Diceros bicornis minor: one gene and its partners. The protein of the gene in region 1 purifies or fractionates together with the protein of each later gene. This does not show direct contact. Links are inferred from orthologs where the notes say so. Each region holds a gene or a part of one and is shown on either strand. Other genes may lie near its edges. The genes, in order: OTUD5, MAPK1, DNAJA1 and GRB2.

Region 1 (7,935 bases):
TGTTTTGTTTTATTTTGTTTTGTTTTTGGTGAGGAAGATTGGCCCTGAGCTAACATCTGCTGCCAATCCTCCCCTTTTTGCTTGAGGAAGATTGTCCCTGACCTCACATCCGTGCCAGTCTTCCTCTATTTTGTACGTGGGGTGCCTCCACAGCATGGCTTGATGAGCAGTGTGTAAGTCCATGCCTGGGATCCGAACCTGCAAACTCCAGGCGACCAAAGCGGAGCATGCAAACCTAATCACTACGCCACTGGGCCAGCCCTCTATGATGCAGTTTTAATAGTGTGCTCAGGGAAGGCTTTGCTGAGGTGATGACTGAGCCAAGACCTGAAGGAGGTGATGGAGTGAGCCATCTAGATATCTAGAGCAAGAGCTTTCCAGGCATAGCAAACAGCCTGGGCAAAGGCCCTGAGGCAGGAGTGCGTCTCCATGTTACAGCCAGGAAGCTACTGTGAGTAGAGTGGAGTGAATGAGGGGGAGAATGATAGCAGGTAAAATCAGAAAGAAACAGGGACCAGATTTTGTAGATCTTACTGTCAACTATTGTGAGGACTTTGGCATTGTAAAGAGTAACCATAATAGATAACATTTTTGTGTGTGTGCTCATTATGTTCCAGGCACTATTCTGAGCACTTTGTATCATTTATTATCTCATTTACTCTCTACAACTACCCTACAAGAAGAAATACTGTTATTCACATGCTACAGATGAGAGAAAAAAGAGGTTGAGAGTGGTTACAGTGGGACCAGAATTCGACCCCAGGACTGACTCCAGAGCCCTCACTCTGTACCACCATAATTGAGGAGTCAGGGGAAGCCTTTAGCACAGTGCCAGGGACTCAGTAGGCACCCAATAAATGTCATGATTGATGTGGCAAGTATTAAGATGACTTTTTAAGAAGCTTCCATCTTCCCACCCTATCCACAGCCGCTCAAGCCTCAATGCCAAGCCCCATGACAGCCTTGACCTGAACTGTGAAAGCCGGGACTTCGTGGCTGCCATCATCAGTATCCCTACCCCTCCTGCCAACACCCCAAATGAGAGCCAACCTTCCTCCCCTGGTGGTGGCGGCGGGGCCAGCAGCACCCTCAGGAACTCCAGCCTGGGTACCCCTTGCCTCCTCCCTGAGACTGTCAAGATCTCTTCCCTGTGAGGGGCGGCCCCGCCCATCCAGAGAGCCCTCTTGATTCTTGGGGACTCCTTTCCAAAGCCATATTTTGGAGAGGCAGAGAGGGGCAGGCCTGGGGACCCCTTCTGCCCCCCACTGAGAACTATGCAATGGAGTTTCATGGAATGGCCTACCTAGTGGGGAAGTAGCCAGGGAATGGGAAACTTCCCCCAGCCCAGACAGTTTTCCTTGTGGGAGCTGAAGAGCTGGGCTTCCTCGCGCCCCTGGCCTCCTTGCCCCAGCACACTGGGACTGGCCCCTCTTCCTGAGCTGGCCTCCTGCATGCTCCTCCCCTCGGGCCGTTGGGCTCCCACCTGACATCTGAGCTCGGCGTAAGAAGGAGAGATGAGACTTCCTCTTCTCTCTGGCCGGGCTGTGGAGGTTTGGAGGTTCAGAGAAAAGAACTCTCACTTCTGATCTGGCCTTTAGGAGAGGTCCCCACCCTCCACCAGGCCCAATAACTCCCAGATTCTGAAGCTTGGAATGCAACCACAGGCTTCATGAGCTGTGCCTCAGCAGTGACCTGCCACCCCCAGACCTTGGCTCAGGGGTCAGGCTGCCTCTCCCAACACACACAGATAGCACAAACACCACCCACCTTCCCTGGCTGCTGGAAATGGGTCCCCACAACCCCGTCCTCTGCTGGGCCCCCAGCCAACTCTAGCAATAGCAGTTGCTGCCATGACATTATGCAAAGCCTTTGCCCAGTTTGCTGCAGCATTTACATCTGCCCTAATCAGAGGGGCCACCTCTAACTACTCCTCCTTCTCTCTTCTCTGGTTTGCTCCCTTCCTGGGTTGGGCTGGAGTCTGGACTGGCTGAGATAAGACCTGGCAGCTAGCAAGAGCAGGGCTGTGTTTGGAGATCACGGGCTAATTCCATGTTCTTGGGCAGGAGTCCAGAAGCATCAGGGCTGGGGCCTGGGTTGTTCCTGAACTCTGGGAGTTCTAGGAGGCAGGAGGAACTTATTGATCTCCTCCTCCCACAATGCTTTTTCACATATTCCTCTTTCTTCTCCCTTTTGGGTCACCTTCCAGAACTCTGTGTCTGCTCTCAGGCTGAAATCTGGCATCATCTCAGGTTCCCTGTCCCCAGCACTGTCCCTGTGGAGTTGGAGGCTGACAAAGATGTAGTTTCCATCAGTCAATAAAATCTGAGAGGAGAGATGAGGCTGAGCACCTCCTGGCTTTGTGGGTTTGGGGGCTGGATTGGGCTAGGGGGTTAACAATACTATGATTTCAAAGTATTGCTGGAGAAGGGCTGGTTGTGGGTAAAGGTATGGGAGGTGGATGGTTGGTGACGTGTTCTGGAAGATGGGAATCTAGGAGAAATGAAAGAGGGTGGTTTGAAGAGTTGAATCTACAGCCAGCAAGGCAGGCTAGGAGGTCGTGAGACATGCCCCTTGAACTTCATCTGCTCCAGCTCCCTCACTCACAGATGGGGGAACTGAGACCCAGAGCAGCACACGCTTGATTAGAGGAGACTTAAACCGAGGCTTCCTGACATCAAACAGCTCTGAATTGAACCCTAATGAAAAGCATCTCTCAGTTTGGCAAATTCCCCTTCCTTGTGGATGTCTCCTACATTCTCTCTTCTGAGCTCCCGGGTACACTAGGCTAGTGTGTGACTGAGCTCTGTGGAGCACTGAGAAGACAGACCTTGGATTCAGGTCGACCTGGGTTCCAATCCCTGCGTGAGAAAATTACTTCTGTTGCCTCAGGTTGCTAATCTGCGAAATAATCATTCATTTATTCACCAAGTATTAACTTCATATCATGTGCTAGCCCTAGGGAGACAAAGATGGGCAAAGAAGACATCATCTCTCATCTACAGAGGTGAGCATGGAAGGCAGGCAATTAAGCGATTACAATACAGTACAGTAGAACTAAGATGGATAGATTATAGAAGCATGTAGATGGCAGGAGAACCTAATCTGGCCGACACATGAAGAATGAGTTGGAGTTAGCCAGGCAAAAGACAAAAGTATGAAAATGTATCAGGCAGAGAGAACAGCATGTGCAATGAATGAGCTGGAAGGTTAGAGAGTGAGCTCAGGGCCTTTGGGGAACTGAAATTAGTTCAGTACAGCTGGGGAGGAGAGTGTGAGGCTGTGAGGAGGGTGAAGATGCAGAGGTAGGCCAGATCATAAAAGGCCTTTGAAGCTATGATACAGGTTTTAGACTTCATACTAAGAATGATAGGGACCTCTGAAGGCTTATAGACAGGAAAGTCACTCTCAGGTTTGTGTTTCAGAAGGATCATTCTGTCTGTGGAGAGCGGATTATAGAGAAACAGTCCCAGAGGGAGGACGAGCAGTGAGGAGGCTTTTGCAGAAGTCCAGTTGAAAGGTGATGGTGGCTTGGATCAGGTAGTGGCAGTAAGAGTTGGAGAGTCAAGAGATTTGAGAGATAGAATGGGCAGAATTTGGGATTGACAGGCATGCAGGAGTTAAGAAAGAGGAAACAGTCAAGGTTGACTTCTTGGTTTCTGGCTTGGGGAAAGGCTGGATTGGGGTGCCATTCACTGTCAAAGGGAACATCAAAGCTGTTAGTGCACAGTGCCAGCCACATAGTAAGTACTCGGTGAAGGTTAGCTACAATTCTTATCATAAGTTCAGGTTTAGATATGTAGTGCTGACCAAATATCCAGTAGGGAGTGGGATGTATGGGTCAAGTGAGATGGTCATGAGAAGATTCCATGTGATAATGTGCATAGGCATTTGGCACAGTGCCCTGAACACAATAGGCCCAGTAAACGTGAGTCCTCTCCTCTCATTGTCTCAAGAGCAGAAAACACCACAACAGTCCGTTTATTACTGACATCCTTCAGGGAAGAACTTCAACTAGGGTCAGCATCTGAAGCGAGGTTAGGTCGCACTCAGAAGGGCTTTCTGATGGTCTCACTGTCAACCTCTTGTATGGCTCGGCTCCTAAGACTGGTAGTGAGCCCTCACCTCTCACAACACCTTCTCGGTTCATGAGCTTATTGAACCTCATAACTACTCTCTGAGGGAGTCTGGGCAGGCATTATCACTCCCGTTTTACACATGGCTAACCCCAAATTTGAGACACAATGACTTGCTCGAGGTCATACAGTTGGTAAGGGTCCATCCGTGCCTGGAACTGAAGCCTGGAACTGGACTCTTCCTGACTCCAAAGCCTGAGATCCATTCCATTGTACCGTCACGCAGACTAATTTATTGAGCATTTACTACGTGCCAAGTACAGCACCAAGCCCATTACAAGCATTCATCTCTGATCATTAAAATGGAATTATCATTGCCAGTTTACAGAGAAGTAGAATTTGAGGATGGAGGGTGTTAAATGACTTGCCGGAGATCACTCAGACAGGAAGGTCAGAGCTAAGATTAGCTTGTAGCTCTCCAGTAGCTCAGTAGCAGGGATTTTACCAACCCCATTGCGAGACGCTGGCCAGTGACAGACCTGGTTCATAGACTTCTCGATCCAGGTAAACTCAGTTTCAGAAAAAAAGGCTGCGCTACGCCTGCGCACTAGCTACAGGGGCGGGGAGGTCAACCCGAGGGCGAGAATGCGGTGGTGCCAAAGTGGGCGTGTCTGTTTCCCAAACACCACGGTGCATGTCTGTCCCATGGTTGGCCTTCCGACTTGAATGACGGCCTCTCTTAACCAATCATCGCAGAATTCAGCCTGTTGCCAGGGTGAAGCGGCGCCCTCCTCTCCGTCGGATGTGGATTTGCCGGTGGGTGGGACCGGAACTGACGCTTCAGGGGATTGCTATGCTCTGGGAGTGTTGATATTCTCGTCAGTCCGGCTGACTGCAGCCAAGTTAGAAGCCTGGTAGGGAGGTACTTTTAAAATTATCTTGCGTGGGGCAGGCTACGCTGTCCTGTCGCAGTACTCCTGCCTGCGAGTCAGAGCCTCGGAGAGAGAAGTAAAGAGCGGACACGGCCGACAAGAAGGCAAGGAACGAGGGTGCCGACTTGACTGAAATTTGAGACGGAGGGCACGGGAGGGCGAGCGATCATCTCTGATTGGCCTGTGGGCGTCATCGAAGACCCACGCAGCTGCTTCGATTGGTTGCTGCCCGCAATTGTTGTGGCGGCGGCGAAGATTTTGCCCACGTACTTCCGCACGAGAGGCGGGGCTGTGCCCTGGCGCGCGTGCGCAGCGTCCCGGGGCCCCACCCGGTAGTTCAAGAACCTGCGAGGGGGCGGGGCGAAGAGGTGCTTGTTTTGGTTCTGTTTCCTTTGAAGCAGAAGGCCGGAGCGAGCGTAGCAGTAAACTTGCTGGACTTGAAGAGAAGGCTACGACAAACTCGCCGGGGTGCCTTCAGCTTGGACTTCACATCCGGGTTCTCCTGCCGCGTGACCCGCGCGCCGCCGAGAGTTCTCGAACCGGTGCCTCAATCTCTTTATCCGGGTCCCGCCGATCCCATCGTGCTTCGCGCACCACAGTAGCCCCCTCATCCGGGTTCTCTCCCGGCGTGCCCCGCGCCGGGTTTGCTGGGGGGTACTCGGCGGTGCCGCCATGACTATTCTCCCCAAAAAGAAGCCGCCGCCTCCCGACTCTGACCCCGCTAACGAGCCGTCGCCGCCCGGGCCGCTGCCCCCGGCGCCGCGCCGCGGCGGGGGTGTGGGCGTGGGCGGCGGCGGCACGGGCGTGGGCGGTGGCGACCGCGACCGTGACTCGGGCGTTGTGGGGGCCCGTTCCCGGGCCTCGCCACCGCCTCAGGGTCCGCTACCGGGGCCACCGGGTGCGCTTCACCGCTGGGCGCTGGCCGTGCCGCCAGGCGCTGTGGCAGGCCCGCGGCCACAGCAGGCCTCTCCTCCTCCTTGCGGGGGCCCAGGCGGACCCGGCGGCGGTGCCGGTGACGCGCTGGGCGCAGCGGCGGCGGGTGTGGGCGCGGCGGGCGTGGTGGTGGGCGTGGGCGGTGGTGTAGGCGTGGGCAGCTGCTGCTCTGGGCCGGGTCACAGCAAACGGCGGCGTCAAGCGCCTGGGGTTGGCGCGGTTGGCGGGGGCAGTCCCGAGCGTGAGGAGGTCGGCGCAGGTTACAACAGCGAGGATGAGTATGAAGCAGCTGCAGCACGCATCGAGGCCATGGATCCTGCCACCGTCGAGCAGGTATGGGCTGGGGGTGGCAGGTGAGTGAGTCTGGTCGATGGGATCCCCGGGCTGGGTAGGGACCCGAGGAAGGTTTTTGAGATCGGCCCAAGGGCCCTAACATCTTTTCCCGGAGCTTGGCGTTCTTTTCTCTGGTGGTAGGGGTGTGAGACACCCTCTTCCTCCTCTCAAGAACTTGGTGTTAGAGGCCCCAGATGAGATGGAGGACTTAAAGATGAGGTCTGTGGTTACTTTGAGGACTCATGGTCGTCATTTCCGGCCCTGGGACCTCATCATGTAGGGCCAATAGGTGGGAACTCCCCAGGAGACACAGGCAGGATGGAATGCTTTCTGAGAAGGGTGTCTCCTGATTCTCCAAGGAACTTTGGTCTGTGTTCAGTGGCTTGAGATTTCTTTTTCTCTGGGATAAGAGTCTAAGACTCCGTCTTCAGGGAACACAAGTGAGGTGGAGACTTCAGAGATGTCTGAGTGTCCCCAAGATACCTAAATCCTTTCGGGAGTCTGAGACACTATATAGGACAGATCTCCTCTACCTTCTTCTCAGGGGAACACAGTGCAGGACCACTCAGTGATGGGGTCTGAGACCTCCTCAAGGGTCCTAAGCCTGCCTTCAAGGGCCTGAGACTCCCTCTTCTAGAATCATGGGCCTGACACACACATATATGTCTTCTTTAGAGAGAGGGATCTTCTGAGCTTTTCTCCAGGTATATAAGACTTCTTTCAGGGAGATAAGATTTCCTTCCCATTGGGGACAAGGGTCAAAACACCCAGGGACCAGAAACTCTACTAGGGCATATGAAACTCATCTCCTTTCTAAGTGACAAGGGTCTATGCTTCCTCTCAGTGGTCTGAGACGTTCTTGGGGACCAGAGTGAATCTCTCTTAAGCTTCTGTTAAGCATTAGACTTTCAGCTTCCTCCCTGCCCTGAGCCTTGCTTCAAGAAAGTGAGACTCACTGTTTTGGATACTGGAGCCTAAGATCCTCCTGCTTATGGACTGGGGCTTTCAGAGACTGGGTCTGAAGCCTCTTCAGGAGACTGATACCCCTCCGCAGGTCCCAGGCAAGGTGAGGTCTTTAGGGGACCTTTCTCCTCAGGAGCTAGTGTCTGAGTGTTCTTCTTAGGAATCTGAGACCCCCCCCTTCACACACACACACAGGGATGTGAGATCCTTCTAGCCCAATTATGAAGGACTGAAACACACCTTGGGGACATAACAGCCCCCTCTTCCCCTATAATAGGCATCTGAGCACACACTCCCCACACGTAACGGCGTGAGCTTCTTGTCAGGGACGTAAGATCCCTGCCTTGGGAACTCGGGACTGAGACCACTCTTCAGGGGACATGGGAAGCATGGAGTCCCAGAGATTTAGTCTGAGGCCTCACCATGGATCTAAGCCTGCCTTCAAGGGCCTGGGACCCAGTGTGCTAAGGACGCTTGCACTTTCTTTCAAGGACAGGAGACCCTTATATACCCCAGTGACTAGTGTGTCTCTAGAGATGAGGTCTGAGCTTCCCCCTCAAGGAACTTAAGGTACCCCTCAGGAACAGGAAAACTCTCCCCACCAGAATGGAGCCCTGAGACCCTTCCCTTGGGGCATGGATACAGAGTCCCTGGAGAATAGTGTCCTGAATCTCCCCTCAAGAGTTTACACTTTCCCTCAT
Region 2 (7,968 bases), on another chromosome or scaffold:
CTATCTTTATTTTAATTTTTGTTTATTTTATATATCACAGATAGTGGTGTGTAATATATTTTACTATAACTGTATTTCTATTAGTCATACATATTTCTAAAGATTTGTGTTTCCTGTTTTGTGTTGCTATGCTATTTGGTGCATTTGTTTTCACAATACCTCTTTATACTATATGTATTCTTGGCCACTTCTTTCTTACAATGGTACATATTCAGAGTTTGTCTTTTGATCTAATCTGAGATTTTCATAGTTTTATACAGGAATTTTAGCTATTTATGTTTTTCTTATTTATTTACATTTGCCTTATTTGTTACACTTTGTCTTAACTTCCCATCATCTATTTTTTTGGTGTTTTGGCATTGTTTTTTATGATTCCTTGCCATTTCCTCACATCTACAATGTGAGGAAAGTGTCTAATACACTTCTTGGTACAGGACTCTTGATTTCTGCTGTGTGAATTACATTTTCCCTTTTATCTCCTATAATAATTTATAAGGTAGACATAAAGCATTTTACACTAAAAAAATATGAAAATTATACTATTTTTAAAAATAACTTTTATCTTCACTTTATGTAAAAGACTTAGTGCCTTGCTTTTTCTACCCTCTTTCTTCCTCTCTGGTTTTCATTGAATTAATCTGAGGTTAAAAATCCTCTGTCTCAAATTCTTTTCTTTTGCATTTTGTTTGTTACCATAGTGACAACAATTATTTCAACTTATCAGCATCAAACAGTCTCTACTGAGTGGTGTTTTTATTCACTTATCTCTCTATCTTTAGCTGGTTTCAAGGCTCAGTGCCAATTTTCTCTCATTTCATCATTCATGAGTTTCTGATTCATGTCTCAGTGATTTATTATAAAATTCTGAGCAATTTTTGCAGAAAAGGGAGTTAACTGGGTAGTGTGTTAGTCACAAACTCTTGTGGTTTCAAGTTACAGAAACCTACCTTAAATTGACTTCAGTAAAAAAGAGAATATATTGGCTCACGAACCTGTAAAGTCCAGGCTCAGTTGAATACAGCCTCAAACCGTGTCATCAGGAAATTGTCTCCATCTCTGGGCTCTGCTTTCCCCGTCTTACCTTCATTCTCAGAGGGCACTTCTCACATCAAGGCATGTTTGGCCTGAGACTCATACTCACTGCCGTAGCACCCCAACAGAAAGGAAGTACTCCTTTCTCATTGTTTCTGCCAAGTCTGGGCTGAGTGTCACTGGCCTGGATCAGGTCACATGCCCATCCTTTGAACCATCTGTGACTCTGATTAGGGAGCCCTGGGTCACATACTTACTCTTGACTTGGGGGTGAAGAGTGCAGAAGGGATGGTTCACCAAAGTAAAATTGGTTTTTTGCTAGCAGAAGGAGGAGGAGTTGATGCTATATAGGCAAAAATGACAGATGTCCATTGTTTTCTAAGATTCTGCAGATCTGTGAACTGTCACCACTCTAGAGAGGCAATAAGGAAGACATCCAGGTGGCCAGCTGGCCATTCAAGCAAGGTCTTCTGCTTCTATAGTGGCTTAGTATGGTTCCAGAGCCTAGCCCTCAGCTTTGCGCTTCCAGAAATTTGTTGTTGTCAATGTAGCTAGATGATTGTTCCCTCTGGGCCTGCCTCATGCTAACCTGACTCAGCAGAGACTGATGTATATCTAAATCCCATCTTAGAATGAACAGTAATTGCCAAAGGACCTGAATAGGGCTGTCCTCTGGTCAGTGCACTTTCCCTGTCAAAAACCACAAGTGAAGCCAAACTTTAATCATAACGTTACTTAGTTCCCATGGAACCACGCAAGAGAAGTTCTCTGGAGAAAATTAGTGGTCAGATGCATCATGCCATGATAGTGTGGTGGCTTTAAAATGTCCACAAATGCTGGAAGAGTGGAGAGAGAACACGTTACAGGGAGAGAGACAGGCATGTGGTGACACTGAAAGACAAAGAGAACTCAGAGTAGTCCAGTCTGGTTGAAGCATGAAGCACAAGGAAGGCAGATTAAGCAGAGTGGTGGGGGAGGGGTGGTCAGCAAAGGCCTCACTCTGAGTGCAATGGGGAGCCACTGACTTGCTTTAGGAAGGGGAGTGACATGGTCAAATGTGTTATGGAAAGATTGATCTGGGTATAAGGAGAAGCAATTGGAGATTGGCAACACTGAAAGCAGAAGGGTTAAGGCTATTGTGGTAGCCTAGGTGAGAGTTGATGCAGCAGGCTTTACGCAACAGGATGGCAGTGCGGGTGAAGTGGATTCATTTAAAACAGTGCTTTTCAAAATTCTGTAACTACGTATGGCGACAGATGTTAACTAGACTTATTGCAGTGATCATCTCGCAATATATACAAATATTGAATCATTATGTTGTACACCTGAAACCAATGCAATGTTGTATGTTAATTACACATCAATAAAAAAATAAAAAAGAAAACAGTGCTTTTTAAAGTTTAATATGCATACGAACCACCTGGGGATCTCGTTAAAATGCAGATCCCGATTTAGTAGGTCTGGGGTGAGGTGCTGCATTCCTAACAAAATCCCAAATAATGCTGGTGCTGCTGGTCTGGAGACCACACTTTGAGTAGAAACTATTTCAGAAATATTAAAGAAATAGAATTTATATGAGTTTGTGACTGGTTGGAAAGGGGGAGGGTTGGGAGCGAGGTAAAATGAGTTGTTAAGGATCATACCCAGACCTCCAGCTTGAGTATCTGGGTGGTGATGCTATCCAAGATAGAAGATGAGGAACACGTTTCAGTGGGGTAAATAACAATAACAGATAACATTGATTGGATACTTACTATGTGCCAGGCTCTTTACATATATTGTCTTATTTATTCTGTACAACAAACTTATGAGGTAGGTACTATTGTGATCTTCATTTTAAGAGCGAGGAAACTGAGGCCAAGCTCATATAGGTACTAAGTGGAGCAGCAAAGATTCAAACCCTCTGGCAGTCTGAGTGCAGAACTCCTCCAGTTAACCACTGGCAGTCTGGATATATGAAGTTGAAGCTCTTGGAGGATGATGTCACATGGAGCTGTCCAGTGGACAAGATGACTTGAACTTCAGGAGGCAGATTCTGAGCAACAGTTAAAGACCTAGAAGGAATCAAGGCATTGGAGGGGATGAAACCCTCCAAGGAGGGTTACAACCTACCCCCTCAGAGTGCTGTCAATCTTGTTCCATTTTCCTTTCCATTTAATTACAGAGGAGGAATCTAAAGAAAACCAGTTTTTACCATAATCTTTTTTTTCTGATTGGATACTGTGTTTGTTCTTTACCCCCGAAATTATGTCTCGAGGTTGGTTTCTGCTCATTCATTTTTCGGCATCCCAGCGAACTCACCCAATTTTCCATCTCCACCTCAGATCTTTTCAGACCTAAGGCAAGTTTTCTTTTATTATCATTTTAATTATTGCCTCTAATTGATTTGCTCTGACTTCTGTTAGGGGAATTCCTATAGTTTGACTCTCCATGAAGTTTTCTTCTCAAAGAATTCCAGCACTTTGAATTTTTCTTATATTTATCTTCTATATTGCTGATTTGCTCTGTTGCATTATCAAATCTGCCTTTTACTGCTTTGACCACTGAATTTTGCTTTGGTTATAGTGGTTTTAATTTCATAGTACTCTCCATTTACTTTGGCCTGTTCTTTAAAAGACGCAATGTCCTCTTATAATCAAGAATAAGCATTAGGTGCTTTCTAAAACTGGGTTCTGCTTCATGGACTAAATATATTTCAAAGATTAAGTTTCGGCTCTAGCACTTTCTTTCTTTTCTCATGTGCCACATATTTTTTTCCTATGGGGTTTTTTAAAAATTTGCTTAATCACCTTTGAGACTGACTACTTGAACTTCACTGATGTCTGAAAGTCCTGAGTTGATGGCTTTCAAGATCACAGTATTGGACAATCAGAATGCATCATCTCCCACCCTGACTCCCCCTCCAAAGATGGCATGGGAAATGGTTCAGAAGCAGGGGCTCCATCATTTTCTGTCTCATTGTGTTAGCTATTCTTGGCATTCATCTGCTTCAGGATTCCGATTTTTACTTTTCAACCTCTGGTGTGTGTGACTATTTCTGAGCCCAAGTGTGTTTGTCTCATTTTCTCTAGATATGGATGTTTTGGTTTTAGCGTTTTCATCTTTGCATTCATACTTCAGTATGTCCTATGTCTAAGATTCTGTGCATCTGTGCAATCTGGGTCTCAGTTTCTGAATCTCAATGTCTTTCTCTAGTGTCTCACTCCACTACTCCCTAACTCCCTACTCTGCCTTATACTTCTTCATAGTACTTACCAGAACTTGAGTATTTCATATGTATATATTTCTATTTAATCTATGCCTCCTTCTAGAATGTAACTTCTGTGAGGGTGCATGCCCAGGGACATGGCAGGTGCTTCACAAACACTCGTTGAATGAACCTCTGTCTGAGTAACGGATCCTCTCAGAGTCTCTCCTTTTGGTCTCGACCTTTGTATTTCACACTTTCTTAGTACGCAAACGTCTTTCTCGGTCTCGGTCACGCCTTTCGGTTCCTATCCTCGTCTCGAGGCCTCTAAGTTCGTGTGTGCACCACGGACCCGCACACGCCTGGCGCAGACCGCGGCCGTGTGTGGCGCGTCCTCGTCTCTCACGCGCAGTCCCCGGGGGCTCTCTGGCTCCGCCAGAACCCCCACTCTGGGTATTTCCCTTCCCCTGACCGTCTGGCAAGCCACGTCCCAAATCTGTCCAACGCCTCCGTAACCTCCTGCATCTCGGGAACCGCCTCCCGCGCCGACTCCCCCGCGAACACACGTGACCACGCAGGGCGGTGCCTCCGCCGCCGCCGCAGTGCTTCGCCCTGAGCTCGCCGCTTCCGCCGGCCCGCGCAGCCCTGCCCCCAGGCCGCGGGGAGCCAATCGGCGTGCACGCTGCCTGGCCCCGCCCCGGCGCCCTCGGCGCGCGCCCCTCCCTCCGCCCGCCGGCCCGTCCGTCAGTCAAGCAGGCAGTCGGTTCGAGGGATTGTTGGGTGTCGAGTCTTCCTGAGCGGTGACCTCCTTGCTGCTTCCCGGTCAGCGGCGGCGGCTGCACCGGCGGCGGCGCGGTCCCTCCGGGAGGTGCGGCGTGGGCCGAGCGGCGGCCGCGGAGCGTCGAGCCCAGCGCGGCGGCGGCGGCGGCGGCCGGGCAGCCAACATGGCGGCGGCGGCGGCGGGCGCGGGCCCGGAGATGGTCCGCGGGCAGGTGTTCGACGTGGGGCCACGCTATACCAATCTCTCGTACATCGGCGAGGGCGCTTACGGCATGGTGTGGTGAGTGTCCGCGCTCGCCCGCAGGCCCGGCCGCGCCCGCCGCCCACCGCCCGGGGCCGCCGCGGACGCAGCTGCGGCCTCGTCCGCGCCTCGGCCTCCTGCGCCGCCGCGACCTCGACCCCGGGCTTCGCCGCGGTCCGCGCACCGGGGGCCTCGGGCGGGGCCCTGGGGCCGGGCGAGGTTTGCGTGTTGCTCGCGGCGCTTCGCGGGTCGACCCTCACCCGCCGCGGGGAGGGGCGCGGGGGGCGGGGGTCGGGACCAGGGACTCCCGGAACCGGGCGCAGCGCGAATTTCAGAGCGAGGACCCCCGGGCAGGGAACGGTGGCGCCTCCCGTCCCCCAGTTTGCCAGCCTTCTTTGCACATCCGATTGTAAAGCCAGGAATTCCTTCAGATGTTTGTCGGTGGTGGCGGCGGCCGTGGTCTTGAAAGCGGTTCGCCTCGGGGTGTGTACAGAATGCCGAAATAATCACATACGATGTTCCTCCCGTCGCCTGTGTTTTCCGCGAACGGCTTTCATGAAACATCTTTAGTGGTGCTAATGGTGCTCTCCTGCGCAGGCTTTCTAAAAAGCATTAGCGGCACCAGTGCTGTTTGTGGAATATTTCAATCTCGAAGTTTTTAAGTGGATTTTAATATTTTACTGTTTGCGTTTCAGGAAGAGTAAGCCAGCATCGCTCTCTTGATTTATTAAGGAGTCATCTGGAGTTGGGCCTAATTTGACTTTTTTTTCTTTGCCTCGAGTGAGCGCTCTTATCAGCATAAACGTCTCCAGACGTTTTAGCACAATTACTGTGGACTTTTCCTATTAATGTTTTAGTGGTCAGTATATATACAGCCTTAATGGAGTTGTTGCAGAATCACGTGCAGGCTCTCTCATCTTGATCCAGATCCCTCAGATTGTGGAATGGAGGTGACGGTATTGTTTTTATTAGAACCAACTAGCTGTAGTGTTTTGTGCTGATGAAGACACACCTAAATCTTACAGCTAAATCTTCTTGTGTCTTTTTGTGTTGATTGTAGGAAGCAAATTAATATTTATTGAACACTTGGCAGGTACTGTGCTAGGTACGTTATCTCATTTTATATGAACAGCTACCTCAAGAGAGGAAGAGGTGGTAATATCCCTCTTTCAGGTGAGAAAGTATTTCGAGGTGAAGCCAATCCCTAAGGTCATAAAACTAAAGAGTCAGACTTGATATTGTAGACTGAGATCCTACTTCAAATGCTGCAGCTCTTCCTATTACTCCCTGCTTTCCTTAAATAGTATTATTAGTAATTTTAGAATTTTAGTATGTTTTACTGTTATAAGCAAATCTATTTTAGAAACACATTTAAATTTGAATGATTATAATTTTAGAAATGCCATAGAGAGCATGTGTTACTAGGTATCATAGCTAGACAGAAAGACTCATTAAAATTCTTTTTTAAAATGAAGGCCTAATAGGGACCGGCCGGGTGGCGCAAGCGGTTAATTGCGCGCGCTCCGCTGCAGCGGCCTGGGGTTCGCCGGGTCGGACCTCGGGCGCGCACCGATGCACCGCTTGGCAAGCCATGCTGTGGCGGCATCCCATATAAAGTGAGGAAGATGGGCACGGATGTTAGCTCAGGGACAGTCTTCCTGAGCAAAAAATAAAAAACAAAAAGAGGAGGATTGGCAGATGTTAGCTCAGGGCCAATCTTCCTCACAAAAAAAAAAAAGGACTAACAGATTTTTGAATATTTTCGTTTTCTTCTGGAGCAAAATGCTTCATGGTGTCCAACTGTGGAAATTAATGTGAACTCAGAGGCTTAGGAGCCGAAAAAGAAATTAAATTAGGTTAAGTCTAAAAGAAATAAGGCCCTAGAAAGTAACAGAGAGCAAGTACTGCCGGCAGCATCACTTCTCTGCATACATCTGATTGCTCTTGCACCTGCTGGTGAGGACGCCTGTGAACGTGTCTCATTGTGAAAGGCTCACAATTGGCCATCACATTCCTTTGACCCTTTTAAAAAATGTAACACCTGAAATATGGACTGAAAAAATTTTTAGATTTAGGACATTTCAGTTGAAAGTTTTTTTTCCTATCTGATAAGATTTTTACTAGTCTTTAGATGATTTAGATCTAGTAACTGTTTCTGTCACTACTGTAGAGTTATTTGACCTAAGTCTCTATCAGGTGAAGTGCCAAGTACTTTTGCTGTAATTTCCTTTACCTAAGTAAAATATGAATATCATTGGAATTAGAATCCTGGGTCCAGATTATAGTTTTTTATCTTCAGGTTGATGATATACCCTAGTAAGAATTTAATCTACATTATACATTATTAGCATTTAGTAAATGTTGATTAACAGTACTGGGTTTATGGAGGGCTTTTGTTTGTTTGTTTTTTGTTTTGTTTTTTTGAGGAAGATTGGCCCTGCACTAACATCTGTTGCCAATCTTCCTCTTTTTTTCTTTTTTCTCCCCAAAGCCCCAGTACATAGTTGTGTATCATAGTCCTAGAGTTGCAGCTCTTCTATGTGGGGTGCCGCCTCAGCGTGGCTTGATGAGTGCTGAGTAGGGCCGTGGCCAGGATCCGAACCGGCGAACCCCAGGCTACCAAAGTGGAATGGGAGAACTTAACCACTACACCACTGGGCCGGTCCCTATGGAGGGCTTCTTGATTGAAATGTTAAATTTTTTTTTTTTTAATTTTATTTATTTATTT
Region 3 (7,719 bases), on another chromosome or scaffold:
ATTCTTAAGTTCATCTGGAAGAATAAACACACTAGAAAATGCCAGAAAAATTGTGAAAAGAAGGAGCAATGAGGGGAAACAGGCCTCCCAGACATTAAAATGTATTTATTTTAGGGGCCGACCCGGTGACACAGCGGTTAAGTTCTCGAGTTCCGCTTCAGTGGCCCTGAGTTCGCCAGTTCAGATCCTGGGCTCAGACCTACTCACTGCTCATCAAGCCACGCTGAGGTGGCATCCCACATAGAAGAACTAGAAGGACCTACAACTAGGATATACAACTATGTACTGGGACTTTGGGGAGAAAAAGAAAAAGGAGGAAGACTGGCAACAGATGTTAGCTCAGGGCCAATCTTCCTCAAAAAAAAAAAAGAAAAGGAAGAAACCACTTTACTCTGTAGCATTAAAAAAAAAGTCACATAAGAACATTTACTAAGGGGCTGGTTATGAAACAAATTACTAACTTTCCTCTGTATAAAAACAAAATGTATTTTAATGGAAACTTAGTATACAATTAAAGTGGCATTTCATATTACTCAGGAAAGATAGAGTATTAAAATTGTGTTAGACAAACTAGCTGGCCATTTGGAAAAAAAATGAAGCTCAGTTACTTACAAATAATCCTCAGCCCTCACACCAAAACAAATTCTAGGTCGAATAAAGATTTAAATGTAAAAAATGGAACCACGAAGTACTAGAAGAAAACCTGGGAGAATACATTGATAATGCTGGATTGGTGAAGCCTTTCTAAACATAACAAATAAAGGAGAAGGGGGAGGCGGAGAGAAGGGAGGAGAAGAAAAGAAATGCAAAAGTCAAAAAAGAAGAGTTAAAACTTATCTAAATAAAATTAAAAGCTTTATATGGCCAAAATATATACATAGAGATACAGGTACTAAGTCAAAAGCTACAATACATCAGAGAAAATAACTGAGACACACGACAGACTAAGACCTACTATCTCTAATGTCAAGTGCTATTACATATCATTAACATAGTGGAGTTACACCACAGAAAAACGGTCCAATAAAAAGAATGGACAGTTGACAGAAGAAGAGTTGGTAAACATTTAAAAGATGCTTAAGAGGCCAACCCCGGTGGTGTAGTGGTTAAGCTCACGTGCTCTGCTTTCATGGCCCAGGGTTCACAGGTTCGGATCCTGGGCACAGACCTATGCACCACTTAACAAGCCATGCTGTGGCAGGTGTCCCACATATAAAGTAGAGGAAGATGGGCACAGATATTAGCTCAGGGCCAATTTTTCTCAGCAAAAAGAGGATTGGCAACAGATGTTAGCTCAGGGCTAATCTTCCTCACCAAAAAATAAATAAATAAAAAGATGCTTAACCACATTATTAAAGAAACTCAAATTAAAACAACAGATATCACATTTTAATCCCTAAGGTTAGCAAAGATTTAAAAAAACACAGAACCCTCCATATTGGCAACACCCACTCATGCTGCTGGCGGCAGTACAAACTGACATGGAAAGTTATTTATTACAATTTTAAATTTGCATTCGCGTTGACCCAGCAATTTCAATTCTAGACGTCCATCTTACAGATATACTTGCTTGAGTGCCCAAAGCTGTATTTGAGAATTTCTCTGCAGCATTGTTTGCAAAGCATTGGAAATTGCCAAAATGTTCATCAATAAGGGAATGGTTAAATAAATTATAGTGCCTGCATACTATCTAATATAAAGTCGTTAAAAATAACAAGGTATATTTATTTATTCTGACCTGGTAGGATGACAATAAATTAAGTAAAAGGGCAAGTGCAAACAGCATGTATAATATGATCTCATTTCTTTACAAGAAAAGATCACATACTAAATTATTGCTAATCTTTTTGCATTTTATGTAAATAAGAGTGCTTCTTAAAAGTGTTAACTTCTATTACTGAAAAGCCAGAATATTCATCAGGACATATTTTCAGCATCACTGAGATAAGTTTCTATAAAGGGAAAAATGTCAAACGGAACATATGTATTGATGTTTTTTAAGGCAACTAAGAATCACCTAATTTTGCTGTTGGGGTGACAAGTTACTAGTTCAAAGCTTACACTGGGAGGAGGAAATTTTATATTTTTCTAATTTTTAAATAAATACCACATTCAAATGGGTTAAATATTCCAAAGTTACAGAAGGGTATATTGTGAAATGTCTCCCTCTCATCCGCCTCTCCCCAGCACCTAGCTCTCCCCACAAGCAACCATATTACAAGTTTTGGGGTATCCTTCTGAAATATTCTATGCACACACAAGCAAATAAGTACAGTTTTTCCCTTCTTGTAACCAACTTTTATGCCCCTTATGTTATTCTTAATAAACAATTAAGCTCACTTAGTGAGGTTGCAGATTTTAAAAGCATTTTCAATATCATGTTTCATAGTCTTAGGTGCGCACTCTCAAGGAGGTTATCTTATTTGTATCACACTTCCATCTTTCTAAAAGTTGTGGGAATTTCAACTGGGTTCCTTAGGCAAAAAGAAACACTAAACATGGTAGGATTTATGAAACACTAGACATGGTAATATTTATTGTGGAAACTCTTGGTTGAAGTGATTTGATATACACAGTACTGAAGCTCATTTCACATGCTTAACCAATGTTAGATTCATAGACACAGTTCATGTTACAGTAGAGAAGGAACTTTGGGACTACAACACCTACATAACACATGAACAATATTTATTATTGTTCACTTACTGTTCTTTATTAACTGCTCATGTTTTCACAACTGCCTGTCTCTCAGCCTGGATACTCATCTGGACGGTGCCAGGTCCCCCTACTCAGCACCCCAATACTCCTTTATTTGCATTTATCACACAACTTCTCCTTTACGTGGTGACCTCCTTGCCGGCAGAGACCATGACTTCGTGATTTTCACATTATCAAGCCCTAGTACCCTGCCTGGCAGCATTAGACTTCTAGTAACTGCTAGTGAAAAGGAAAAACTTTATACCAGAGGTGGTATTTGAGAAGGTAACATCTAAGATTGGAAAAATTAGGTGTTTGTCAGCCAGAACAAAAGCACAGAGAGGTGAAAAAGTGCCTCTGGGAAACTGCAGATAGTTCGGTGTGACTGGCATGCACCTGTTTTGTTGTTTTGTTTTTTTGCGAGGAAGATCAGCCCTGAGCTAACATCCATGCCAATCCTCCTTTTTTTTTGCTGAGGAAAACCGGCCTTGGGCTAACATCTGTGCCCATCTTCCTGCATCTTATATAGGACACTGCCACAGCACAGCCTGACAAGCGGCACATGGGCAAGTGCCCAGGATCTGAACCCCCGCCGCCAGCAGTGGAGCGTGGGCACTTAACCGCTATGCCACGGGCCGGCCCCTGCATGCACCATTTAAATAAAAGAGAGAAGACTGAATACGCATGGGGACGCCTCCAGGATAAAGTTCAAAAACTGTTTAGCAAGACATACCAAGAGGTGTTCCCCAACTAGCTCTGAACCCACACTCCCTGCCACTCCAGCTCCCTTAGCCCTGGCTATATCCAGTTACTTGCAATTTCCTGGAAACATATTCTTTCACACCTCAGCCGTCCTTTGTACTTGTCTTTTGCTGGGAATGCTCTTCTTTCTTCAAAACTCTGCTCAACCGCCCCTTTCCCAAGGAAGCCTTCCCTGTTCCATCAGATGAATACAGGAGCCTCTCCCCGGCTAACCTGTCTTGTGGTGCCCTTATAGTGCATTGACTTGTCTGGTTCCCCACTGAAATCTAAGCAATGTGAACCCGGCTTTTCCAATTTTGCATCTCCAGATTTCTTGGTGCTAGATACTCCTAGCGGTGGTGTTCAGGGAGGAAGACAGACTCTCTTTTCCATTATACCCCCGTTCCAACATTTGAAAGCCCACAATCACTTTGCAGACCGTAGATCACGGTTCACAGACCTGGGGGGGGGGGGGCTTAAAAGTTAAGTCAGGTAATTGAAACAATTTGTTAGCTACCCTTGGTGGCCACTCTGTGTCCCCGGCTCGCCAAACCGGGGAACGCCCAGCCAGAGCAGTCCATGGCGCTCAGTCTGCTCCAAAGCATGACAACGTCTCCCCGTTCAGCGCTGCCCTGAGCCCAGCGTGCAGGAGCCAGGAGGCCGCGGCAGACAACGTGTCTCGGAGGCTGGACTTGCACAGAGAGCTCTTCCGAGGCCGCGGGCTGCGCGTGAAAACGAACCAGACCCAAGGCCTGCGGGACTGTTCTGTGGCCCAGGACCCTCTTGCTCAGCATTTCCTGCTCGGCGGGTTCCCAGAACCTCAGGGCTAAGGAAGCACGCCGGTGAGAGGCCCCAAGAGGCGAGCGAGGCGCCAGCGGGAAGAGGCGCGGAGGGGCTTTGTCCCGAGATGCCCGCCCCGCACCCAGCGCCCGCCGGGCCGGTGCCCGCGTCCCCCCGTCCCCGCGGGCCCCGGCCGCCGCCTCGCCGGTGTGGGCACCCAGCTGCAGAGCACCGGGGCAGGCCCCGCTCCCGCCCGACACTTCCGCACTCTAGGGCCGACCGGCGGAAAAAAAGGGCTCCAGAAAGTTCCACGAGCGCCGGGAACCCAGGCTAGTGCCCACCCCCACAAGGCCCTTCGGCAAGCCCCTCCCGGCCCGAGCGCCCCCGCGCCGTTGCCGGGCAACCGCGGGGCGGTGGGAGCGCCGGGAAGGGCGGGACTTCCGGTGGGTGACGCGACCGAGCTCGGCTACAAAAGACGACGGCTGCGGCGCGCCGGGGGAACTTTCCAGAACGCCCGGTGTGAGGCGGAGGAGCCGCGACCCGAGCTGCGCACAGCAACGCGCTCCCTCCCGCTCCCCCGCGCCGGCCTCGGCCCGCTCACCGGTGAGTGTCGGCCCCCGCGCGTCCCCTGGCCCCCATGGCGGCGCCGGGAGCCGGAGGGAGCCGCGGCCGGGGGCGGTTGGCTCCGCGTGGGCGGGAGGGTTGTCGGTTCCCGGACCCACGATCTCCTCCTTGGAGGGCTGGTGTAGTGCCCGGCCACCCATCCCCGGCCCGCAGCGAGCGACCCCGAGATTCTCCCGAAGTTTCCCCGCTCCCCATCCAGCTTGAGGTCCCCGCGGACCCGCCGGCGGCGGCTTGCCCGCGCGCGCGCGCCCCCCAGCGACCCTCTGCCCGCGCTCGCCGGGGTGGGCGACTCTCCGCGCACGCGCAGAGGAGCCGAGGGGCGAGGGGCTGCGGGCGGAGCGGGCGGAGGCTGCAGGTTTCGCTTCTCCGCTCTGCCCTCCTTCTCTTTGTTGAGCCCTGGGCTTCGCCTCCCGCCGCTCGATCTCGGGTGGGAGGGAGAAAAGGAAACCTTCACCGTCGGCGCCCGGCGCAGGGGGAAACCTGCCGACGTGTAGAGTGGGCCGGCTCGTGGAGGCAAGGGGGGTTCCGCGGGCGAAGCCGAGGAGCTCTAAGTCCTGTGATTGAGAAACATCCTTGGGGTTGAGGGGGAGGGGAGCCTGCTCTCTGGCGCCGGCGTTCTTAATTAGTTTCAAAACCCCTCCCAGCCCCCTTGTGCCCAGGTGTCTTTTCTTCTCTGGAGGGTATGGTTTATCAGATTTACCGAAGACGAAGATGATGTAATAACCAGTGGACTGAACCTATTAGTGCTCCTTTTGATTACTGCTGCCGCTCACTGCTTGGGGAGGCGAACAGGAAGGGTCCAGATAATAGTCGCGTTAGTGTGGAGGCTTTCATGTGGGAGAGGGGAACCAGCTGCTGTAGAAGGAGGCTCTTGAATTATTCCCTGATAATTATTAGCTTATATTTAGTCTGTTAGAACTCAGGGCTGAATTATCGAAGGGATCGTTACCTTCTCCGTGAACTTTAGGGAAGGCGGTGCTCTTATAATCAGATTTGGCGAAGAACAGATTTCTCTGCTTAACTCTGATTTTACTAATTAAAACTACCAGTTGAAAGTCGGTTAAAATTGCCTTTTCTTGTTTTATGCTGTAGAAAATGGTGAAAGAAACCACATACTATGATGTTTTGGGGGTCAAACCCAATGCTACCCAGGAAGAACTGAAAAAGGCTTACAGAAAACTGGCGTTGAAGTATCACCCTGATAAAAATCCAAACGAAGGCGAGAAGGCAAGTAGCATGCTCATATTAAACATAGCTGGATAGTTCTTTGCCAGGTGTATGGTATTTCTATTACAACCTGAAATTGACTATGTCTAATATAGTGGTTTTGCTTTGTAGTGTTTTTTTTAGTGAAATTTATTCCCTTTTTTCTCAAACAGTTTAAACAGATATCTCAAGCTTATGAAGTGCTGTCTGATGCAAAGAAAAGGGAATTATATGACAAAGGAGGAGAACAAGCCATTAAAGAAGGTGGCGCAGGTGGCGGTTTTGGCTCCCCCATGGACATCTTTGATATGTTTTTTGGAGGAGGAGGAAGGATGCAGAGAGAAAGGAGAGGTAAGAAGAGCCTAGTCCCCCTGCAGCAAATTAAAGAAGCCCTGGGTCAGAGCAAATTCTTGAGAATTCACTTATTTTAAATGCTTATTTATGTGTCGGTATAGTGTTGCAAAGTGACCATAAACTGCCACTTTGATTTACGGTATAGTTTTTTTAAATGAGATTTGATGTAACTAAAAATAGCTAAGCCAATCTAGTGCTAACAAGTGAGTGCTTCTAAAGCTCTCAGATACAGACGATTTCTGTGAGGTTATCCGGCATTAATTACAGAAACAAAGAATAGGCACATAATTTTTTTTTAAATTTAAAAATTAAAAAAAAATTTAAATTTTTACAAATCTTATTTGACCCCACCCACCTAGTGGGAGGTACTGACAAGAGGGAGTTAAAGTTCAGAAACCTAAAGTTTCCTCCAGGTTGGATGTAGCAAGGCAGCAGTTGAGTCAGGGTTGGAGCACAGGTTCTTTGCCAGCAAGTAGCCCGCTGTCCCTTGAATCTTGCTTTGGCTTTCTTGTATCAGAGTATGTGTCCTAACATTTAACAGAAGTGTGGTTTCTGAGCTGTGGAAATATTCTTCATAGGAGTACAGTGTTGGGGTCAGAGAGTTAGTCTCACTTTGTTCCCAGTAGGGTTTATACAAACAAACAAACAAGGGCTGATGGGTAGAGCCCATTTCAGAAGGAATAGGCAAGCCATTAAATTTCACTTGGAACTGTTTCAGATTGAGATAAGACTGGAAATTGTTTATTCAGTGCTCCTTGAAAGGGGTATGTTTTTATTTACTTAATTTTAAGAAATTTATCCTGAAATAATTTGCAATGAAAATCAATTGCTTAGGATGGTTTGTCCCACAGAATAGTAGTGGTCCTTTTTGTTTTTTCCGCTTCTTTTTTTAATGAAGAGTTGACCGGCAGGCTCTTGTGTGTGGCTTAGGTCAATGAAAGGTCGTTTTTTGGTGTGACACTGGAAAATACTTGCTGAATAGAGCTGCAGCAGCTTTTTTCCTTCCCTGTACTCCACACTCGGTGAAGCTGCAGTGAGAGCGGTTGGCAGCTTTTGGCATGCCAGAACCAGCTACATGGGACTGTATTTATGATTCAGAACCCAAAGGTGGAGGTAGGTAGGAGCAGAAGGATATAGTTAATGGTGCTTCACACTTCATTGGAAACTTGGCATGTTGTGCAGATGGGAGTTGGGGGATTTTTTTCATTTACACATAAGGCATTACTGTCTTGTGATGGATAAAGTCCTTGTGGAAGAATCAGTAGCTAGGAACTTATTAACCATTGGCAGGTGACTTCGTTTCCGTAGTCTCAGTAT
Region 4 (7,453 bases), on another chromosome or scaffold:
CAATGTCTTTGCATAAAATGAAAATAATGCATATTCACTTGGCACAACTGGGAAAAAACGAACTTTGACACATAAAACCACGACTCTCAACGGCCATTCAGTAGTCCCAGAAAGTTCTTCTTCTTCTTCTTTTTTTTGAGGAAGATTGGCCCTGCGCTAACATTTGTTGCCAATCCTCCATTTTTTTCTTTTTTTTCCCTCCCCAAAGCCCCAGTACGTAGTTCTGTATCACAGTTGTAGATGTGTAGCTCTTCTATAGGGGCCCCGCCTCAGCACGGCTTGATGAGTGATGAGCAGGTCTGTGCCCAGGATCTGAACCCGCCAACCCTGGGCCGGCAAAGCGGAACGTGCGAACTTAACCGCTACGCCACCAGGCTGGGCCCTGGAAAGTTCTTCTGAATTATGCAAGTAACTATTAATTTCTCTCAGGAGAGCATAGTGGGTCTCTATTCTGTATTACTTCATTTCTTCAAAGTCCTTTACTCTTCTGCTCTAGCTAACAATTAGAACTGTTGCTGCACAACATGCAACATGATAACAGGAATTACTGAGAAAAATCTCTAAGTACCATCAACTAGTAGTATTTAAAACCTAGTAATCCCTCAAACCTGAATAGACAAGCTGAGCAAGTAAACTGCCTCAAGTATTTAAATGCTTGCTTTTAGTATCAAAGAAAGCCGATTACAAGAATTAACTCCTTTTTTTTGTTTTAGGATTCGGAAAATTCTGAACAAGAAAAGGGGCAACAAAACAAATATTTTATTATTTGTTAATTCTTTATGTCAAAAAAATCTGACAACCATAACAAAGAAGGCTGATTATAACAGATGTAGGAAAAGATGTCTGATTTAAAAAAAGCCTAGTAGGGCCGGCCCCGTGGCTTGGCGGTTAAGTGCGCGCGCTCCCCTACTGGCGGCCCGGGTTTGGATCCCGGGCGCACACCGACGCACGGCTTCTCCGGCCATGCTGAGGCCGCGCCCCACATACAGCAACTAGAAGGATGTGCAACTACGACATACGACCATCTACTGGGGCTTTGTGTGTGTGGGGGGGGGGGATTGGCAATAGATGTTAGCTCAGAGCCAGTCTTCCTCTGCTAAAAGAGGAGGATTGGCACAGATGTTACCTCAGGGCTGATGTTTCTCACCAAAAAAAAAAAAAGAATAACCCTTATCTTTAAAAAATAAATAAATAAAATATAAATAAATAAAGCCTAGTAAAAAATAATTAGTACTATTACCATAGGCAAGCTTTAATTTATTAATGGTCTAAATAAATTCTATTCCCTTAAATGTTTCATGTTATCTTAACTCTATTGTAATATAGGTCTGTGATTGGTTTTCATTTTTTAACGTTAACCACCCCCACTAAAAGCCAAAAAGAAGTCACACAAGCCCCCAACTGACCCAATCTTCCTTACTAACATAAAAGTGATATAGAAAGAAAAGCATAAGCAGGCACAAAAGCATGATCTTAAAGTGAAGAAAAACTAAAACACAAATAACACAAGCAAGCTGCACTTGTGACCTAGTGGCAGTATTGATTACTTACGGATGAATTCAATCCTTTGAGCCTCCCAGTTCCCAGGGGGAGAACTTAAGTCTCGCATGGCTCTCTAGCAACCCTTCTGGCTGACTGAAGGAACACAGTGGACGCTTAAAAATAAAGGATAAAGCAGGAAAGAGGGTATCTTCCCGGGACAGAAAACGGAATCTAATTGAGGGAGAAAACGAACTGCGCCAAAGAGCAGAAACCTTGAAAAATTATGCCAGAAAGGGGACAATAAGGAGGAAGGGGAAGTAGATTAGAAAAAAGCTGGGGGAGGGGGCAAATGACTTGCATTATACCAATAAGCATTTAGTGTCCGCAGTAGAACGGAGAGAACTAGATAGAAAGAAAAGGCAACAACTGGAGAAGTACTAAGTGAAAAGACGGACAAAACAGACATGCTAAACAGACTAATGCCAATTTCTCTCACTGTGTCTTTTCGACTGTTTTCTGAGTCAGCTACCAAAAAACAGACCTCGAGTGCACTTCAGCTCCTCTGCAAACTGTCCTTTTATAGCATCTGAAGACAACCTGGAATAACTAGCTGTAACTCATATGGCTTACAATCATATATATGGAGAGCGCTGCAAACGAAAAAAAACCCGTGCTTCTCTCTCCTCTCTCACTAAACTCTTTCCTCGGAGCATTTCAACCAAGTGCTGCTTATTTTTCTTGACAAATATTTTTCAGCGAGTAGTTCAAAAGGAGCGACAGAAGTAAAGGCATCGCGAATGGCTCCAGTAGCAAACGTTCTAACTCACTGTATTAACAGGGTTGGTGGGTGTCTTCCCAAAATTCGGCCCAGACACCAGGAGATGGTGACGTGGTGGCCGTGGAGGTCGAAGGAGCATCAAGCAACACACTTGCAGCCCGCCGCGAATCCCCCGCCTCCCGGGCCGAGTCAGACTGACTCACAGAATGAGTACCCCGTGCTCTCGGGCTTCTCCCGGGCCCGTTCTGCGCAAATCCTCATGAAAAAGCCGCGGAATTTAACTAGGAGCCCCCGGCCTCTTGCCCCGGAGTCCGGGGCTCTGCCTCCAGCCAAAGGCCGGGAGAGGACAGTCCCCAGGAAGGAAGCGCCCCAAAAGGGGAAACGTGGAGCCCGGAGCCCCGGGGATTCCGCTCCCCGCCCCGGCCTCGCCACCCCGAACCCCAGGCACGGCGGCCTCGGCAGGCTGGGCCCAGTCCCCCCGGGCCGACTCCCGCCGCGGAGCGGGGAGGAAAAGGCACCGGAGCAGCGCCGACGCCGCCGTCCGCACTCACCGTGGCGCAGCTGCTCTGCTCCGCACCGGCTGGCCCTTCCGCAGCGGTGCGAGCGGCTGCCGACCCCACTACTGCTCCCCGAGGGCAGCGCCTGTTCCCGCCGCCGTCACCGCCACAGCCGTCGTCACAGCCACTGCTGCTACCGCCGCCGCCGCCTCCCGGTAGCCGAAACAGGACAGTCTCCCCGCTTCCGCTCCTCGTCAGGGTCTCGCGAGAACTTCCCCGCGCGGCCCCGCCCCGCCCCGCCCCCACGAGACTTCCCCCGGCGGAAAAGGCCTAGAGCGCAAGCGCTCCTCCTCGGCCGGGCCCCCGCAGGTAGAGACTATCTAGGTGCCACGGCGCATGCGCCAGACCGCCCCGCAGCAGGTGGCACCGGCATGGCTCCGCCCCCTGGGTCGCTGCAACCCGGTCGGTGCCGGAGCAAATAAATTACAGCTCAGCCCAGAAGTAACTGTTATGCACGTACTAATCACTCACTTCCCTTTCCCTTCCGCCAAACCAAGGCAATTTAGGGGAGGAGAGAGGGGAGTCTCCAGCACGAAGCACTCCAAATAGAAGACTAGGTCTTGAAATATTTGAGAATCCTGTCCAAACTCTGCAGTGTTAGATGAGTTAACAGATTCGTTCCCTCGTTGATTTAATCAAGTGTCGAATGCATGCTAAGCACTGAGCAAGGTATAGCAGGTACAACGACGAACAGAAATCCTGGCCCTCAAGGAATTCACCGTCTAGAAAATTGGCAGAAATGTAAACAACGCCATAAGTACTGTTAGAATTACTTGGGGAATGCTCAAGAAGCTAAAAGGAATGCTAAGGAAGCTAAAAGGCGGGGAGAGGGGTCGCCACTCTGCCCATCTCAGAAAAGCCTTCCCAGAGAAGGTGATGTGGTAATGTCTGAGCCGAGTCTTGGAGGATGAGTAGGAGTTCGCCAGACAGAGAAGGCGGGGTAAGGGCATTCCAGGCGAAGGGAACGGCACGCAGGTACAAAGGAAGGGAGGCGTGAGAGAGAATCGTGTTCTGTACAATGCTAAGTAGTTCGATTCCTGTACTAGGCGGGGTGAGTACGGGGGAGTGGCAGAAGATGAGGCTTGGAGAAGTAACTTTTATTTTTCGGTTCCAAAATCTCTTTCCAATTGAAGGAGAGAACAAAATGCATCTAATGGTAATGTGCTCTCTGGAAGCCAACAAAATAGTCAGGGAGATGAGGATAACCAAACACCTGATTCTATAGAGAAAACAAGCCCATTGAAAAAGGAAAATTAATTGTTCTTTCACCAAAGATTTATTGAGCATCAACTGCACTCGAGGCGCTATGCAGGATAACAGATGAACACGACAAAGCCTCAGCTTTCAGCAGTTTGTAATCTAGAGCAGAGTTGCCTAGTCTGCAAGGCAAAACAGTTGGCCCTAGTGCCATTGAACTATATATAGGACTGCAGAGGAGGGAGCCAGTTACTTGGTGCTCAGGTAATCAGGGAGAACTTGGTGTTTGAACTGCAACGTGAAAGCAGAGAGGAAAGAGTGACGGAATCAGCCAATATTTCAGATTGGAGAGAATTTAGGATTTAGGGGGAGGAGTAATGAGAGACAAGGCCAAGATGTATGGCTTAAGTTTCATTTTCAAGTGATATGAAACCTCTGAAGATTTCTGAGCAGTAGATGTCTGATATGAGGTGAAAATAACAAGAGGACCAATCTGTTTACCACCTGATGTGTACTAAAGTCATAGTGTTTCTACAGGGTGGATAATGTCCCCATTTTACAGACTCAGAAACTGAGGCTTAGAGTGGTTAGTAACTTACCCAAGGAAACCCAAATATAGTAGACTTGAGATTTAAAGCTAGGCCTGTCTTGTTCTAAAACCCATTTTTTCCCCCACTATGATACTTTATTCTAGAATGGTAGCCAGATTAAAAAAAAAAGAAAGAAATGAAAGGGAAGACTTAGCTGCTGAGCAGAGAGGAGGAGGAAATGAAGGAAGAATTGCAGCTCCCTGCTTCAAGTGGGGAGAACAACAGAGAAATTTGCCAGTCAAGAGGAGCAGCTGACTGGGCGGGGGAGAGGGAGGTGATGAGGTACAGGGAAGAGGCAGGTAAGGATGATGCCCCAGTTTTGGAAATGTAGAGTTCATTGTTTCAGGAGACATGCAGGTGGAAATATCCAGTGTGCTGTTGAAAATCCCAATGCCTTCATTAGTCCTCTTCACAACATTAACTGGGCGTCTACTCTGTAGATGGCAGGATAACGCATCACAGAGCTTGCAGCCTAAAGGACACGACATACCTTCGAGAGTATGACACTCGCAGTGATGGCAGCTTTGGGAGCATATAGCAGGGGACCTGACCCAGTCTGGTTCAGGGAAGGCTGAGGAGAGAGGTTTAAGCTGAGACCCTGGTTAGCCTGAGAGGAAAAGAGTTCTCCGGAGAGAGTACAGCATGTGCACAGGCCATAAAGTAAGAGAGAACTCAAGGAAGCCATAAACTAGGGTCTTGATTCTATGGGATACTGAAGCAGGGCTGGGGAGGTGGGGGCGGGGGTAGGGGGAGAATGACACACAGTCAGATTTTCATCTTCAAAATAGGTATCACTCTGGCTGCAGAGTGGAAAATCAGTTGGAACTAAGATATTTATCATCTACAAAATAAGATCTCAAGTCCTTTGCAAGATCCTTATGGATCTGGCCCTTGCCTGCCAACCCCACCCTCTCAGTCTCCAGCCAACACACTCCACCAATACCAAACCACTGTGGTTTCCAGAAGGTGCCATGATCTTTTGAGTGCCCGTATCTTTGCACATGCAGTTTCCTCTGCTCAGTTGGCCTTCTTCCCTTTCTTTAGGCCCCCAAGTCAGTTTTAGGGTTTCTTCCTCAAAATTTCCACTGTACCTCCAATCTCATTGCAGCATTATCATTTGTGTGTGTTTTTGTGTCCCCCCACCCCCACCCCAATGCTCTACAAGCTCCCAGACAAACAGGACCACGCCTTTTTACATTTGTATTCCCAGCTCCCAGCACAGTGCATGGAGTGAATAAATGGATGGATGGATGAATAAATAAGAGGTTCACTAGAGAGGAAGATGTGGCTGCTTTTCTGTGCAATGTGATATTTAAAGCTAAGGAAGTGGGTGAGATCTCAGAAGAGACTAGATGCCTAGAGAAAAGGAAAAAAAAATGCACTTCCTTTTAAAATGCAGCATTGATAAAACAGACTCTGAGTATGTCTGTGTAAAAATATATGCATATGGACTAGATTTGGAAGGGAACATTTAAGAGTAAAAATAATTGTGTTGAAATGAAGCAATTGTGGGTGACAAAAAAAATTCAACATTTGTTACATTGTCTTTTCAATAAAAAATTCTTTTCTACAGACACAGACTCAGAAACTTAAAAGAACGCTGCCCAAGATCATTCCACGCAGAGGAAAAAAACACACTAGAGGCAGTAGTGTTTTGAATGTATGTGTGATTAGTGTTAAATAGTGAAAAGAAATTGGAATGAGGCAAATTGTGAAGTAAAAGTCACACTCAGGTGTGAAAACCTGCTGTAACTGTAGCAAAACTTGCTGATTACAACCTGGCCACATCAGTCACTTCAGAATGCAAAAATTAATGACAAAAAAAAAAAATCCATCTTTTCGGTTGGGGTTTGCAGTTATTTTTAGTCGTCGGAAAGAGTTTCTTGCTTTGCCTTCTGTGAGTTGTGATGCTGCCACCTGCCGTTAAGAACTGGACATTGCCTGGCATTTACTGAACCTTGAAAGTCCCTAGGAAACTGGCCTGACAGTTAACCCCCTCCGGTAGGAGCAGCCTCCAGACCATCTCAGGTGCATCCTCTGAGCCCACATTTCTGAGCTTCTCTTTAGTGGGAAAATATCAGACAGCCAGTGACAACTTAAACTTGGTCATTGAAATTCTCCCACCAGCTCTAAGTTTTCATCTTAGAATTTCCTTTGCTCAAGTTGTAAGTCAAAGCTGCATACACCTCTCAGGCCTCGAGGGTGGCCTCTGACGCTGAGCCTACTAAGGGGACCCCAAGTCTTGTGACTTCGCTTCCTCCACCTCCTGACTCTATTTCCATCATTTGACGTGGTCCATGACACCATCCTTCCTGGAGGGATGCTCTGGCCTGCTTACTTATCATCCTGCCCTCTTCCAAGTCAATATCTACATTGCGGCTGGAGTGGGCTTTCTTTTTTTTCTTTTTTTTTTTGCGAGGAAGATCAGCCCTGAGCTAACATCCATGCCAATCCTCCTCTTTTTGCTGAGGAAGGCCGGCTGTGAGCTAACATCTATTGCCAATCCTCTTCCTTTTTTTCCCTTTTTCTCCCCAAAGCCCCGGTAGATAGTTGTATGTCATAGTTGCACATCCTTCTAGTTGCTGTATGTGGGACCCGGCCTCAGCATGGCCGGAGAAGCGGTGTGTCGGTGCGCGCGCCCGGGATCCCAACCCGGGCCACCAGTAGCGGAGCGCCCACACGTAATCGCTAAGCCACGGGGCGGACAGGAGTGGGCTTTCTTAAATACAAATTGAATCAAGGGGTCACAGATAAGGTCCAAAGTCCTTAGCATGCTCCACATGGCCCTCCATGGCCAGCCGCTGCCAACAAGTCCAGCCTCAATGCTCAGCCACGTTCCTTTGAACTCT

The links.
Region 2: the proteins of OTUD5 (region 1) and MAPK1 purify together in Homo sapiens (affinity purification with mass spectrometry; 3 studies listed by BioGRID, with this or other methods). This does not show direct contact. The link is inferred for Diceros bicornis minor from reciprocal best matches to the Homo sapiens genes OTUD5 and MAPK1.
Region 3: the proteins of OTUD5 (region 1) and DNAJA1 purify together in Homo sapiens (affinity purification with mass spectrometry, with the first as the bait; 3 studies listed by BioGRID). This does not show direct contact. The link is inferred for Diceros bicornis minor from reciprocal best matches to the Homo sapiens genes OTUD5 and DNAJA1.
Region 4: the proteins of OTUD5 (region 1) and GRB2 purify together in Homo sapiens (affinity purification with mass spectrometry; 3 studies listed by BioGRID and IntAct, with this or other methods). This does not show direct contact. The link is inferred for Diceros bicornis minor from reciprocal best matches to the Homo sapiens genes OTUD5 and GRB2.

What each region holds. Positions count from the first base shown.
Region 1 is NC_080781.1:42,207,476-42,215,410, reverse strand, and holds the start of OTUD5 (OTU domain-containing protein 5), read left to right. Parts: upstream 1-4,921; 5' UTR 4,922-5,677; coding exon 5,678-6,271; intron 6,272-7,935. Other genes in the region: KCND1 (potassium voltage-gated channel subfamily D member 1), read left to right, coding at 929-1,154. UniProt on the Homo sapiens protein: Deubiquitinating enzyme that functions as a negative regulator of the innate immune system. Has peptidase activity towards 'Lys-48'- and 'Lys-63'-linked polyubiquitin chains. Can also cleave 'Lys-11'-linked ubiquitin chains (in vitro).
Region 2 is NC_080774.1:30,335,462-30,343,429, reverse strand, and holds the start of MAPK1 (mitogen-activated protein kinase 1), read left to right. Parts: upstream 1-4,963; 5' UTR 4,964-5,163; coding exon 5,164-5,279; intron 5,280-7,968. UniProt on the Homo sapiens protein: Serine/threonine kinase which acts as an essential component of the MAP kinase signal transduction pathway. MAPK1/ERK2 and MAPK3/ERK1 are the 2 MAPKs which play an important role in the MAPK/ERK cascade.
Region 3 is NC_080761.1:53,103,144-53,110,862, forward strand, and holds the start of DNAJA1 (dnaJ homolog subfamily A member 1), read left to right. Parts: upstream 1-4,716; 5' UTR 4,717-4,821; intron 4,822-5,934; 5' UTR 5,935-5,937; coding exon 5,938-6,069; intron 6,070-6,221; coding exon 6,222-6,399; intron 6,400-7,719.
Region 4 is NC_080757.1:55,882,655-55,890,107, forward strand, and holds the start of GRB2 (growth factor receptor-bound protein 2), read right to left. Parts: upstream 3,001-7,453; 5' UTR 2,812-3,000; intron 1-2,811. UniProt on the Homo sapiens protein: Non-enzymatic adapter protein that plays a pivotal role in precisely regulated signaling cascades from cell surface receptors to cellular responses, including signaling transduction and gene expression.